Saccharomyces cerevisiae S288C: one gene and its partners. Each later gene encodes a partner of the first gene's protein in a complex. Each region holds a gene or a part of one and is shown on either strand. Other genes may lie near its edges.

What was found. Proteins that work in one complex are often made in the same cells at the same time.
Region 2: MRPS17 (region 1) and RSM19 share a complex: the UniProt entries of both Saccharomyces cerevisiae proteins name them as parts of the mitochondrial small ribosomal subunit.
Region 3: MRPS17 (region 1) and RSM27 share a complex: the UniProt entries of both Saccharomyces cerevisiae proteins name them as parts of the mitochondrial small ribosomal subunit.

Annotation. Positions count from the first base shown.
Region 1 is NC_001145.3:631,887-640,050, reverse strand, and holds MRPS17 (mitochondrial 37S ribosomal protein uS17m MRPS17), read left to right. Parts: upstream 1-3,046; coding exon 3,047-3,760; downstream 3,761-8,164. Other genes in the region: GCV2 (glycine decarboxylase subunit P), read right to left, coding at 1-2,551; YMR187C (uncharacterized protein), read left to right, coding at 4,067-5,362; Hsp90 family chaperone HSC82, read right to left, coding at 5,579-7,696; RTP1 (Rtp1p), read right to left, coding at 8,081-8,164. UniProt on the Saccharomyces cerevisiae protein: Component of the mitochondrial ribosome (mitoribosome), a dedicated translation machinery responsible for the synthesis of mitochondrial genome-encoded proteins, including at least some of the essential transmembrane subunits of the mitochondrial respiratory chain.
Region 2 is NC_001146.8:694,552-697,108, reverse strand, and holds RSM19 (mitochondrial 37S ribosomal protein uS19m RSM19), read left to right. Parts: upstream 1-1,781; coding exon 1,782-2,057; downstream 2,058-2,557. Other genes in the region: putative ATP-dependent RNA helicase DBP6, read right to left, coding at 1-1,514; mitochondrial 37S ribosomal protein uS12m MRPS12, read left to right, coding at 2,287-2,557. UniProt on the Saccharomyces cerevisiae protein: Component of the mitochondrial ribosome (mitoribosome), a dedicated translation machinery responsible for the synthesis of mitochondrial genome-encoded proteins, including at least some of the essential transmembrane subunits of the mitochondrial respiratory chain.
Region 3 is NC_001139.9:920,215-923,007, forward strand, and holds RSM27 (mitochondrial 37S ribosomal protein mS33 RSM27), read left to right. Parts: upstream 1-1,960; coding exon 1,961-2,293; downstream 2,294-2,793. Other genes in the region: 40S ribosomal protein uS2 RPS0A, read left to right, coding at 361-450, 906-1,574; GPI1 (phosphatidylinositol N-acetylglucosaminyltransferase), read right to left, coding at 2,419-2,793. UniProt on the Saccharomyces cerevisiae protein: Component of the mitochondrial ribosome (mitoribosome), a dedicated translation machinery responsible for the synthesis of mitochondrial genome-encoded proteins, including at least some of the essential transmembrane subunits of the mitochondrial respiratory chain.

The DNA of each region.
Region 1 (8,164 bases):
CACTAGAAAATGGTAATCCCTCATTACCCATCATTTTGATATAGGCATAAGAAATTGGTAACACTAAAGCATTACCATATGGAGCAGAGGAGACCGAATCGATGGATTTGCTACCGCCGATTCCAGTGATCATATCAACAACGTCATGTTTAGGTAAATGGGGTATTAAATGAGATTTGACGCAAATGGGAGCTCCAGCTGGACCACCACCACCATGAGGAATGGAAAATGTCTTATGTAAATTCAAGTGGCAAACATCTGCACCAAGATCTCCGGGTGAAGTTAGCCCAACCTGCGCATTCATATTAGCACCATCCAAATAGACTTGTCCACCAAAAGAATGTACGATATCAATAGCATGTTGGATGCCTGGTTCAAATAAACCGTAAGTGGAAGGATAGGTGATCATTACGGCGGCTAGTTCTTTAGAATGTTGTTCAGCCTTATTCTTTAAGTCAACCAGATCTAATGAGCCATCCTGCAAACAGTTGACAGGAACAACTTTTAAACCCGCCATAGCGGCAGAAGCCGGATTTGTACCATGAGCGGATACAGGGATTAAACACACGTTACGATGATTTTCACCTTTGCTTTCCAGGTAGGATCTGATTACTCTCAGACCAGTATATTCACCTTGAGCACCTGAATTTGGTTGTAAAGAAATACCATCGAAACCTGTAATGCTGCATAAATCTTTCTCCAACGAAGTAATTAGTTCCTTGTATCCTTGGACTTGGTTTGATGGCTGGAACGGATGGATATTCGAAAATTGGGGCCAAGTGATTGGCATCATTTCAACAGTACTGTTCAATTTCATAGTACAGGAACCTAAAGGAATCATAGAATTAGCAAGAGATAAATCACGAGATTGCAACCTATGTAAATATCTCAACATTGCTGTTTCGCTATGGTGCATGTGAAAGACTTCGTTCCTCAATATTTCATCAGTACGCTGAAATTCCCTTGGGAAACTGTTAGAATAGTCCTCAGAAAGAAACTGCGAAGAATTTTCAATGTCAAACACTTTTAGTAGATTTTCAACATCAGCTTTTGTAGTTGTTTCATCAAGAGCCAAGGAAATAGTGGTGGTGTCCACGGCAAACAAATTGATATTAAATTCTTTCAAGGCCTTGTCCAATAACTGCTCGGAGGATATGCCATTACCTAACTTTATAGTCAAAGTATCAAACCATGTTTTATTAATTAGTTCGTGAGGGCAACTGTCATTTTCGATGGCATTTGCCAATATTGATGTTAAGCTAAATATCCTCCTGGAAATATTCTGTAGGCCCTTAGGACCGTGATAAACACAGTAGCTCGAAGCAACATTAGCCAGTAAAGCTTGAGCGGTACATATATTTGAAGTTGCCTTATCACGCTTGATATGTTGTTCTCTTGTTTGGAGGGCCAACCGCAAGGCCGTCTTGCCTAAGCGGTCTTTAGAGATACCGACAATTCTACCTGGAATTTTTCTGTTTAATTTATCAATAACAGCGAAAAAAGCAGCATGAGGACCACCATAACCCATTGGGACACCAAATCGTTGAGAGGAACCCAGGACGATATCAGCACCGTAATGAGCAGGTGGTTTTAGAAGTGTCAAAGCCATTAAATCTGAGGCCACAGAGAGCAAAGACTTGTGAGAGTGTAACGCATCAGATAACTGTTTCATCGAGTCAGGCGGTAAGATTGAACCATCTGTCGCTGGATATTGAACCAAACAACCAGATACGTCGGGGTTCTTTAAAACATCCACAGCTTTCTTGATATCCGAACAGTCAACTTCAATAATTTCAATATTGAACGGCTTGGCTCTGGTGTGAAGGACACTCTTTGTTTGCTGGTGTAATTTTTTATCTATTACGTATTTTAGTTTCTTTTTTCTGGAAATATTGAATGACAAGAGCATAGCTTCTCCAGCCGCTGTACCCTCATCCAACAATGAGGCGTTCGCCACAGGCAAACCAGTCAAATCTGAAACAACCGTTTGAAAGTTTAATAGCGCTTCTAGCCTACCTTGAGAAATTTCGGGTTGATAGGGCGTATAAGAAGTATACCATTCTGGACTTTCTAGCAGGTTTCTTTGTATAACCGGTGGTAAAATCGTACCGTAGTAACCCTTACCTATGAAATTTTTAACTTTATAGTGGTTCTTATTGGCAATCTTTTCTAGATGTTGAAGCATTTCTTGTTCACAGAATCCCTTACTAGGAGCTTCTAGTTTCAAGGGTCTTCTCTTCAAAATATTGGGAGGAACGAGCTCTTCTATAAATGCGTTTAAATCGCTATAACCCATTGTTTTTAACATTTTCTTAACGTCGCTAGGAGAAGGACCTAAATGACGTCTAGCAAAAGTATCTAGCGGTCTATCAATGTTTTTCAAGTCAGGATTGAAAATCCTGCTGTACTGTGTAGACGTTATGTCTGTAGCGGCTGTTTTGAGCAAAATAGATTGAGAATGGAATGATCTAGTCCTCGCTAATGAAACATAATTGGTGCTTGACCTGACAGTAGCCCTACAAAGGAGAGCAGTCACTCTTGTCCTAAGCATGTTATCTTCCTGGTATTAGGAAACGTTTTTCCAATAAACTGTGGTTAGTTGATGGTTAGATCGCGCAGCAATCAATACAGTAAGATTGGTACACACGAGAAAGACTAATTCACTGGAACTTGAAGAGAAGAAAATTGTGCCACTCGAGCCTGCTATATATACATCCATTTATATTCGTTGGAGATCTTTCGACTAGCTTATCAAGGTCCTTCACAGCTCAATGCTGACTTCGATGACTCCTCTGAGAGTCATGACTCCGAAAAGGAGGAGTCTATACCTCAAGAAGAGTCAGAGATGTCGGGTAACGATTCAACCGGGTAACATGATTGTTATTTCATAAGATTAGAATTCTGAAGCAATTTGGGATTGTGCCAAACCAATGCGAGCATCAAACTGTTAGAGGAAATCCACAAATAAGGCCAAACAGAAGTAAACTCAGGGAGTTGAATTCGGGTTAGAGATTTCAAAAGTCAAATCAAGATCAGTTAAACTGTAATGGCTCGCCAAAATTTTTTAGGCTTGGTCGTCTCCCAAGGGAAGATGCAAAAGACGGTTAAAGTACGTGTAGAAACAAAAGTCTTTAATAAGAAAATCAACAAGGAGTTATTTCATAGAAGAGATTATTTAGTGCATGATGAAGGTGAAATATCAAGGGAGGGTGATTTAGTAAGGATAGAAGCGACGAGGCCGCTTTCAAAGAGGAAGTTTTTTGCCATTGCAGAAATTATTAGAAACAAGGGTCAACAATTTGCATTATACGAATCAGAAGCTCAGTTAAGCGTTGCAAAAGAAGAAGCCCAAAAGGCAAAAGAATTTTTGGATAAAAGATCAGTGAGGGAGAATAAACTAAATGAAAAAACAACCCTTTTACGTGATATTAGGACCATCCAAGATGCTTTATCTAGCGGGTCAACGCCGAAAGAGTTATTGGAGATTAAACAAAGGTACGGCATTCAAGATTTTTCACAAGAAACAGTGAGGCAACTTTTACAGTTAGACATCTCTGGATTGGAGGTTAATTTGGAGAAACAAAGAAGTCTCATTGATCGTATTCAAACGCGATTATCCGAATTGTTGTCGAATGATCTAAAATGTGATCAATTTTTGAAGGATCATGGTGTTGAGGATCCTTTGACCTTGAAAAAAAACATCAAAAAAAATTTGTTAAGAAAGCACGTCATGATGGATATGCAACAACCAAGCCAGTAAATAAAAGAAAGAGGAAAGCCGAGTGTCATATTTTCTCAACTAAAGCACTACACTCTGTAAATATATACAACTACAAGACTTCGTTACGTAAATAGTAAAGTGTTATGTTTTGACTTTAAAATATTCTAGTGAAAAGAACGATGTTTTTGATTTTCTATCGTTTAACGCATTTATATATTTTCAGGCAAGTGATATCGAAGATGTGAGTACATCGCTCGTCCCCATCGTCAAAAACAAAAGTAAATAAAAGAGCTCTGCTCTGATTTTACAAACAAGAAAATTCCAAGGAAATAGTCCAAGTTTTATATGACCCCACCTCATTTTTTTTTATCTCTCATAAAAAAAAGATGCATATGCTGGATATGTTTGGAAGAATCCACATATGACTCTACATGGCTACAGCACACGTGCGGTTGCAACTTACAAATTCATAAACGCTGCTATATAAGATGGCTCTATCAAATGCATGTTGAACTTTTTCTTCCGAACACAGTGGACCTACCAAAGGATGCTGATTTACCTATAATCACCTGTTTAAAATGTCTCGTTGATGGGCACCATGATTTTATGACGACTTTCTCTCTTACAGAAATATGGGAAACTCGTCCCATTTGGGGGCAAAAATCAGTACCGTTTCAAAATGACTACGTGTTCAATCTAATGTCTCTTTATACCAAACGGGATAATCATCCACCTTATGTGTTAGTGAAATTTGGCGAATGTCCTCAATGCAAGAAAACAAATTTCATAAAAAGACCTACAGTAACCATCCAGTCTTCTGTACTATCCCTGTTTTATCAGTGGCAAAAAATTACACGATACGTGATACCATTAGGGATAACTAGTTTATTTCTTTTAAACCCTGAAAAGACAAGTTTTGACATTGGATTATGGCAACTACGCTGCCTTTTCCCTGAGAATGTTCTACGAAATATGTTAAACATCAGCACTACAAAGGCATTGGACGTATATGCGCAAACTGAACGTGGCTTATTAAGCATTCCTTTAACCTCCTCGATCATAATATATGGGTTCATACATTATCTTAGCAACATTTCTAACGTCAGTGCTAATGCAATACTCTTTAAGTGGGTGTATCTCAGTATTGTAAAAACTGCTGGAAACAAATATTACAAGGGTATAGGTTTACCTAAAATAATTTTGTATTCTAACTTGGCTACATTTTGCTATAATTTTACCTTTAAAAGATTGGTTGACTTAATTTACAGGAGGCTGATCAATAAAGGAGGTAAGTATTTGTATCACGGAAATTTTGAAAACTCTAGTAATAGCGTTCCAGCTGAGGAATTTTTTATCAGGCGGAATTGGTATGCTATTCTTGCAGAAAAGATACTATGGCCCTTTGTTGGTAAATGTACAGGAGGTCTTCTATTGAATGCTTTTCTATGGATACAGAGAAAGTTTAAAATTGAATGGACGCCGAATTGCTCCCCTTCGGAATTTAGAATGATTTTCAATATTATAGGTTGTGGTACTGCTGCTATAGGCTGGTCAAGTCTGAAGCTCTATGCCAGTTACAAAAGATGTCAGGAACTTGAAAAGATCAATGAATTTATTGAACAAAGTTGCAAAGGTGAGTAAATAAGTCATTCGTAAGTGTACACTAAACTTTAAGGACAGCTGGTAGGACAATTTTATGGTCATTTGACAGCTGATGTCTTAAATTGTGTGCTATGGTTCATGTTTACATTAAGACCAACTTTTTTAAAGGCGCGTAAAGCAGAATCATTATTACAAATAGTAAAAATAAGTAAACAAATTTATATAATATATAAAACATGAAGGCGAAAAAAGAGATTAATCAACTTCTTCCATCTCGGTGTCAGCTGGAACCTCTTCAACTGGAGCTTCGGTAGAAGCTTCTGGAGCGGTTTCTGTTTCTTCATCCTCATCAATGTTCAAACCTAAAGAAATCAATCTATTTATTCTTGATGCAAAAGAAGTTGGTTCTTCCAAACTGAAACCAGAAGTCAACAAAGCGGTCTCGAATAATAAGTTAGTCAAATCTTTGACGGTCTTATCTTGTGCACCACCCTCATCAACTCTCTTTTTCAATTCCTTAATAATTGGAGATTTTGGAGAAATTTCGAAAGTCTTCTTGGAAGACATGTAGGAGGACATGGAAGAGTCTCTCAAGGCTTGAGCCTTCATGATTCTTTCCATGTTAGCAGACCAGCCGAATTGACCAGTTCTGATGGCAGCTGGAGCATCTAGCAATTTGTAAGAAACAACAACCTTCTCCACTTGGTCACCCAAGATATCCTTCAAGGCCTTGGTCAATGGTTCGTATTCTTTGATCTCCTTCTCTCTTTCAGCTTTTTCTTCGTCTGTTTCTTCCAATTCGAAATCTTTAGTAATGTCAACCAAAGTTTTACCCTCGAATTCCTTCAATTGAGTGAAAGCGTATTCATCAATTGGGTCGGTCAAGAACAAAACTTCAAAGTTCTTAGCCTTCAAGGCGTCCAAGAATGGAGACTTTTCGACTGCCTTTAGAGATTCACCGGTGATGTAATAGATGTTCTTTTGGTGTTCTGGCATTCTAGTAACGTAATCAGTCAAGGAAGTCAATTCATCGACAGATTTAGTAGAATTGTAACGTAGCAACTTAGCTAAAGCAGCTCTGTTTTGAGTGTCCTCATGTACACCCAGCTTAATGTTCTTAGCGAAGGCAGAGTAAAATTTGTCAAATTGCTCGGAGTCTTCAGCGATTTCGTTGAAGGCTTCAATCAATTTCTTGACAATATTCTTTCTAATAACCTTCATAATCTTATTTTGTTGTAACATTTCTCTGGACAAATTCAATGGTAAATCTTCAGAGTCAACAACACCCTTGACGAAAGATAACCACTCTGGAATCAAGTCTTCAGCTTCATCAGTGATGAAGACACGACGAACGTACAACTTGATATTGTTCTTCTTCTTCTTACTCTCAAATAAGTCGAATGGTGCTCTCTTTGGAATGAACAAGATAGCTCTAAATTCCAATTGACCTTCAACAGAGAAATGCTTAACGTACAATGGGTCTTCCCAGTCGTTAGAAATAGACTTATAGAAAGCATTGTATTCCTCTTGAGTGATATCAGATGGGTTTCTAGTCCATAATGGCTTAGTCTTGTTCAACTCTTCTAATTCTTGAACCTCTTCTTTAACTTTTTTGGTTTTTGGCTTCTTTTCTTCTTCTTCTTCATCGACTTCTTCCAATTTTGGTTTCTTGTCATCTTCATCCTTCTTTTCCTCGTCTTTCTTTTCTTCTTCTGGAATTGGAACTTCCTTTTCGACTTCCTTGGTGACTAGAAGTTGGATAGGGTAAGCAACGAATTCAGAATGTCTCTTGATGACTTCTTTAATTCTCTTTTCTTCCAAGTACTCCAATTGGTCATCTTTCAAGAATAATCTCAAGACGGTACCTCTACCAATTCTTTCGTTAACTTCGTCCAAAGTAACGGTGAAAGAACCACCGGCATTAGATTCCCAAATATATTGTTCGTCCTCATTGTTCTTGGAAATAACTTGAACTCTGTCGGCGACTAAGAATAAAGAGTAAAAACCAACACCGAATTGACCAATCATGGATACATCGGCACCAGCAGATAGAGCTTCCATGAAAGCTTTAGTACCAGACTTAGCAATGGTACCCAAATTGTTAATCAATTCAGCCTTGGTCATACCAATACCAGAATCTCTGATTTCCAAAACTTTTTCTTCTGGTTTTGGGGTGATTCTAATGAACAAATCTGGTTCGGTTTCCAATTGCTTTGGATCAGACAAAGCTTGGTATCTAATTTTGTCTAAAGCATCGGAGGCGTTAGAGATCAGTTCTCTCAAGAAAATTTCCTTGTTAGAATAGACAGTGTTGATGATCAAACTCATCAACTGAGTGATTTCAGCTTGAAATTCAAAAGTTTCACCAGCCATATTTCAGAATGATTCTATTTTTCTATTGGTTCTGTAGCGTTTCAAGAAAAAGAAAACAAGAGAAAGAATATATCACAAAAAATATAATGCATGTGTTCATGTCACTTACGGTAGGCAGTTCACATGCCACTCTTTTTATACAAATCTCCTCCCTCATTACCCAACGCTTGGTGGAAGTTCGAGAAAACGAGAAAAATTGTTCTTTCACCTTCTAGAAAGAAAAGTGCCCAGAAAACAGAAAGGCGGGTAATAAAATGCATCGGCGGCTATTTTAACTTTCTATTGGTAATGGCTGCTGTTCTATGAATACAAAAAGAAAGAATATAAAAGAACGTAAATATTAATTTTGCCTAAGAAGCAAATTATAATCAAATGCGTAATGGGTTATAAACTATCTAGTACGGTTAAAAGCTTGTCAATCTGTTCACAAACCATGTAATCTTCATCTTGATCACGAACGTAAGATAA
Region 2 (2,557 bases), on another chromosome or scaffold:
TTTTTATTTTCTGCTTTGGAGTTGTTTGAATTGACAGAATTAATACTCACCGCCAAATTTTGAAGGTTTTTCAATACGCTGGATTGTGAGCGAGATTCACAGATAAGTTGTAGTAACTTGCTTAATCTGATAGACGATTCATTTGATTTAACGAAAATCAAAATCTTTGCAGCAATGGGGGAATGTGCCATAAATTGGCATATTGAATACAACAATATCAATGGCTTGTAAACACTTTTCGCCGTGGGAATGTTGATGTTAAATTCATTCAATTTGTTAGGTAGCTGGTACAATTTATCGGTTTGCTTCAGGAACAACTTTGGTTTGTAAAGGTTCAAGCCGTTTAACTTTTCTGTGTTGGTAGTCAATGTCGCACTGAAGATCATTTTGATCACGTTCCCTGGAAGTGTATCTAATTTATCCGTTTTCAAATGGGACATTAGTTTTGGACACCAGCCCTGGAAGGACTGGTTCAAAAGACGATCAGCCTCATCGATAATCAAAAACTTTAGGTTTTTCAAATTTATCGATTTCATATTTAGATGATCTACTAATCTACCAGGTGTAGTGATTAAGATATCTGGTTCCAAATTTGATAATTTTTTGTGTTCGTCCTTCAAAGAATTTTCTAATTTGGCAATGCTCACAATAAGCGACGTCCCTTGAGTTAGCTTTGTCAACGTAGTATAAACTTGGTTTATCAATAGTTTTGTGGGGACGATGATTATACAACGCAGTCTGTTAATTTGTCTCTTGAAGAGGGTTTGAACAATAGGAATGGAGTAAGCCAAAGTTTTACCTGAACCGGTAGCAGCATTTACAAGAATATCACCGATTCTTCTGGTGAAGTTTCTCTTAGATACGTTCAACGTGAAGTTCAATACCGGTAATATGGAGTCTAGGATGATCGATTGGATGGGAAAAGTGTTTGTAGAGAAATTCTTGCAAATATTCTGCAGTAGTTTTGCTTCTAATTCATTTGCGTAATCCGAGAACGGTTTGATCAAGGAATTATCATAATATATCTTCTCAGTATTTAACCAACCCGTAGATTTGAACTGTAATGAATTTGTATTCAAATTCATTGGGTTTTTGACGAATTCAGGTTGAGGAATCTGTTTTAGTTGGTGAGTTGAGGCCGCCTCGTCTTCAATACCTTCGTCTTCCTTACTCTCAGCAATATCAGATGCACCTAGCCTTTCTTGCAATGATACTGTTTGCTTGAATCTCGATAGCACTGTGCTGTGAGTACTTGGCTTACTCTCTTCCTCTTCCACTTCACTCGAATCCTCTTCACTAGCCCCATAATCTACTTGCATACGGTCTTCGTCTTCCTCTGAACTAGAGTTGGAACTCTCATCAGAATCTTGGTGAGAGCCATATTCTTCATTATCAGATTCAGTAGCCTGCCTCTTTAAAGGCACAATGGCCGGGGGAGTAGTTCCGACGATTCCTTCTGGTGCGCTAGCTGCAGGAGCAGTCAATTGGCTAGGGTCAAATCTCGATGCAAACATTGTCACTACCGGTCACCAATGGTAAAGGTGTCCAGTTTCGAGCACATCTCATCGCCAGTTATGCTTTCTATATAATACAAATCTGCAATAATTTTTCAAATTTTAAGCATCACCCGGCATTAGCGTTTGGATCACTATTCACGGTTATGGCTGAGCAAGAAATGGCAATTGGAAGCGCCTAGTAAGAATCTAACCATGACTTAAAACGGTGAGGTTCATTGCAAGAGCAGTACAGCATCGGCAGAAGTAGTGTCCACCAAAAATAAAATGCAACCGGCAGCTAGACTTTTATCGCGGTCCGTATGGAAGGGCCCCAACATCGTGCCATTACCCATAAGGGAGGCCATGACTAAGGGCACTCCAATAAGAACAAACGCAAGGGCCGCCACCATCCTTCCTCAGTTCGTGGGACTGAAATTTCAAATACACAATGGTAAGGAGTACGTACCTATTGAAATATCAGAAGATATGGTGGGCCACAAACTGGGCGAGTTCGCACCTACCAGGAAGCGTTTCAGCTATACTCAAACCAAGAACAAATGAGGGATCTAGTGTATATAGATTTCTAGATGATATATCATGTAAATAAGATCAAGCCAGACTCGGGCTGTATATATATATATATATAGCATAATAAACAGTAATAGTGCTTTTAAAAGCATTTCAGTCTTACCCGAGCGACAAAACGATTTGGGGAGAAAAAACGCATATAACCAGGGAAAAGACGGAGAACTTACAGGTACACCAGAATTGAAGCAGGCCAACAAGAGCCATGTTGTCGAGGTTTATGTCCAACACATGGTGTACGCCCTTGAGACAGGCGCAGAGATTGTTTTCCTCCACTACGACAATGCAAGCGACATTGAATCAGATTAAAAGAGGCTCCGGGCCTCCAAGACGCAAGAAGATAAGTACAGCTCCACAACTGGATCAGTGTCCCCAGCGGAAGGGTGTCGTATTACGTGTAATGGTTTTAAAGCCCAAGAAGCCGAATTCTGCGCAGAGAAAGGCGTGCAGGGTCCGTTTGACTAACGGGAACGTGG
Region 3 (2,793 bases), on another chromosome or scaffold:
AAACGCAGGCCCAGAGATTCTCCAGGCAGGAAGGAATTGGGACAGATCCTGCCTGGAGGGATGGAGGAATTTACTTCGTAGGCTGGAACAGGCTCATCTCAGCCAACGATTGTAAATGTGCAGGGCCATCGTTACAATCCTGCGCACCCTACCATGGATACCAGAATCCCGTCGTGTTCCCAATTGTGAGTAGTACAGTGGCCTGCTGCCGGGCAGATAGTAGCAGGGCAGGACACTTGCCAGATCCCGTAGCAAGGATGCTTATAATATATCGAAATGTAGCATTGTTAGTTTACTTCGTAAACTGCCCTTGTAGAGTGAGGTATAGCTTAGAAAATAGCAAACTAAATAGAGAGCGAAATGTCCTTACCAGCTACTTTTGACTTGACTCCAGAAGATGCCCAACTTTTGTTGGCTGCTAACACTCACTTAGGTGCTAGAAACGTTCAAGTATGTTATACTCATTCCCGATTATATAATAGAGTAATGTGTGATTGAAAACAGTTCGAGTGAAAGAATAGCCACAACCAGGTTTCCCGCCAACCAAACGGAATGCTGGGATAGCATTTTTCAGGCTGAATAAGAAGAGAAATATATGAACAATCATTAAAACAGTTTGAAACTCCAGCTAATTATCAGCGAATATTTTGCCAATAGACTTTCTAATTGTATTATGTTATTAAATTTTAAATCGCTAATGAAAAAAAAAAACAAACCTTTGGTATTAAACCTCTTTCAATGAAATCAATTAATTCCGGTACCTATTCTTCCGACGCTGTTAGCCAACTATAAATGCCATTTTTTCATAGTACATTAATTTGAATCAGTTGATCATTCACAGCATATACCAAGTGTACGTTTTTGAATCTTTTATACTAACTTTTTCTTCTTTAATTTTGTTTCAGGTTCACCAAGAACCATATGTTTTCAACGCAAGACCAGATGGTGTCCACGTTATCAACGTTGGTAAGACCTGGGAAAAATTGGTTTTGGCTGCCAGAATCATCGCTGCCATTCCAAACCCAGAAGACGTTGTTGCCATCTCTTCCAGAACTTTCGGTCAAAGGGCTGTTTTGAAGTTCGCTGCCCACACCGGTGCTACCCCAATCGCCGGTAGATTCACTCCAGGTTCTTTCACCAATTATATCACCCGTTCTTTCAAGGAACCAAGATTAGTTATTGTCACCGACCCAAGATCAGATGCTCAAGCCATCAAGGAAGCTTCTTACGTTAACATCCCTGTCATTGCTCTAACTGATCTTGACTCTCCATCAGAATTCGTCGATGTCGCTATCCCATGTAACAACAGAGGTAAGCACTCCATTGGTTTAATCTGGTACTTATTGGCTAGAGAAGTTTTGAGACTAAGAGGTGCTTTAGTTGACAGAACTCAACCATGGTCCATCATGCCAGATTTGTACTTCTACAGAGACCCTGAAGAAGTTGAACAACAAGTTGCTGAAGAAGCTACCACCGAAGAAGCTGGTGAAGAAGAAGCCAAGGAAGAGGTTACCGAAGAGCAAGCTGAAGCTACTGAATGGGCTGAAGAAAATGCTGACAACGTCGAGTGGTAAGTAAGGTGATATTTACAAATAGTATATTAATAATTATAGTATAATGTTTTATTAGAATAACAGATTTCTTTATCAATTTAGCGGCTAAATAAAAATCAAGAAAAAAGAAATACATTCATTGTGTCATCTTGTCACACATTTAGCCATGTACTTTATTTGCTGAGAAGTTTAATCAATTGAGAGTAGTTAGCTATTGTAGTAAAAATGTGCAAATGAAGTCTTATCAACACGTAGCGTATATAGTGATCTAAAACAGTTAGAAATATAATAAGCGAACTTCTAAACCATTTTAGAGCACATAGCCATGGAGAATAGGTACTTGTTTTGACCCGCTCGACGAAGTGGTACGTAGTGATTGCGTGGATTAGTTTATCATAAGACTTTCAATGAACGTACCAAAGGCGAGACTCCTAAAAGTAGCAGAGTTATCTGCGAAGATATTTGATCAAAATTTCAACCCATCAGGTATAAGAACCGGTTCTAAGATTCTAAATGAGCGATTAAAGGGCCCTTCTGTGGCAAGCTACTACGGCAATCCGGATATCCTGAAGTTCAGACATTTGAAAACATTATATCCTGATATTGAATTTGTAGACCTTGAGGAGCAATATCGATTATCTATGGTAGAAGCAAAGAAACGTCGTGGTAAAGGTGCTCCTAAGAAGATGAAGAAGGATGCAGCTGCAACTGCAAAGGGGAAGGGGAAGAAAAAAAAATGATTGGAGCACCCTTACTAAAAAAAATATTCATTATGTAGAAACTCATTTCATGTACATACAAAATCAAAAATAAAACAACAAATAGCTGAAGCAAGAAAACGCTACTTTACTTATAAAAGAAAACGTTATGCCTGAATAGTCAGCCTTTTGTATAAATCCTTTACACTCAATGGCTTACTAGGCAGTGAAGAATAAAGAACATAGTACAGCTTATTTCTATTGACCATTATAGACTCCCCTCGGACAATCTTTCGTACAGTAGCAAACGAGAAATAATTTGTCCTCATTTGCGACAACAATAGATTGTATGGTCTGAACATACTCTTGAATTTAATAGGATTGTTTTGAAGTTCTAAGGTTGTATGCTTGTTAGAAACCGTGGTTTTGAGCTCAATTGAAATGCCACCGGGTAGACGTTTAGGATCTTTTAACCTAAGTAATAATGCGAACAATGGAAAATGGTTAATGAGTGCAATGACAGCTTCCGAGAATATTTCGAT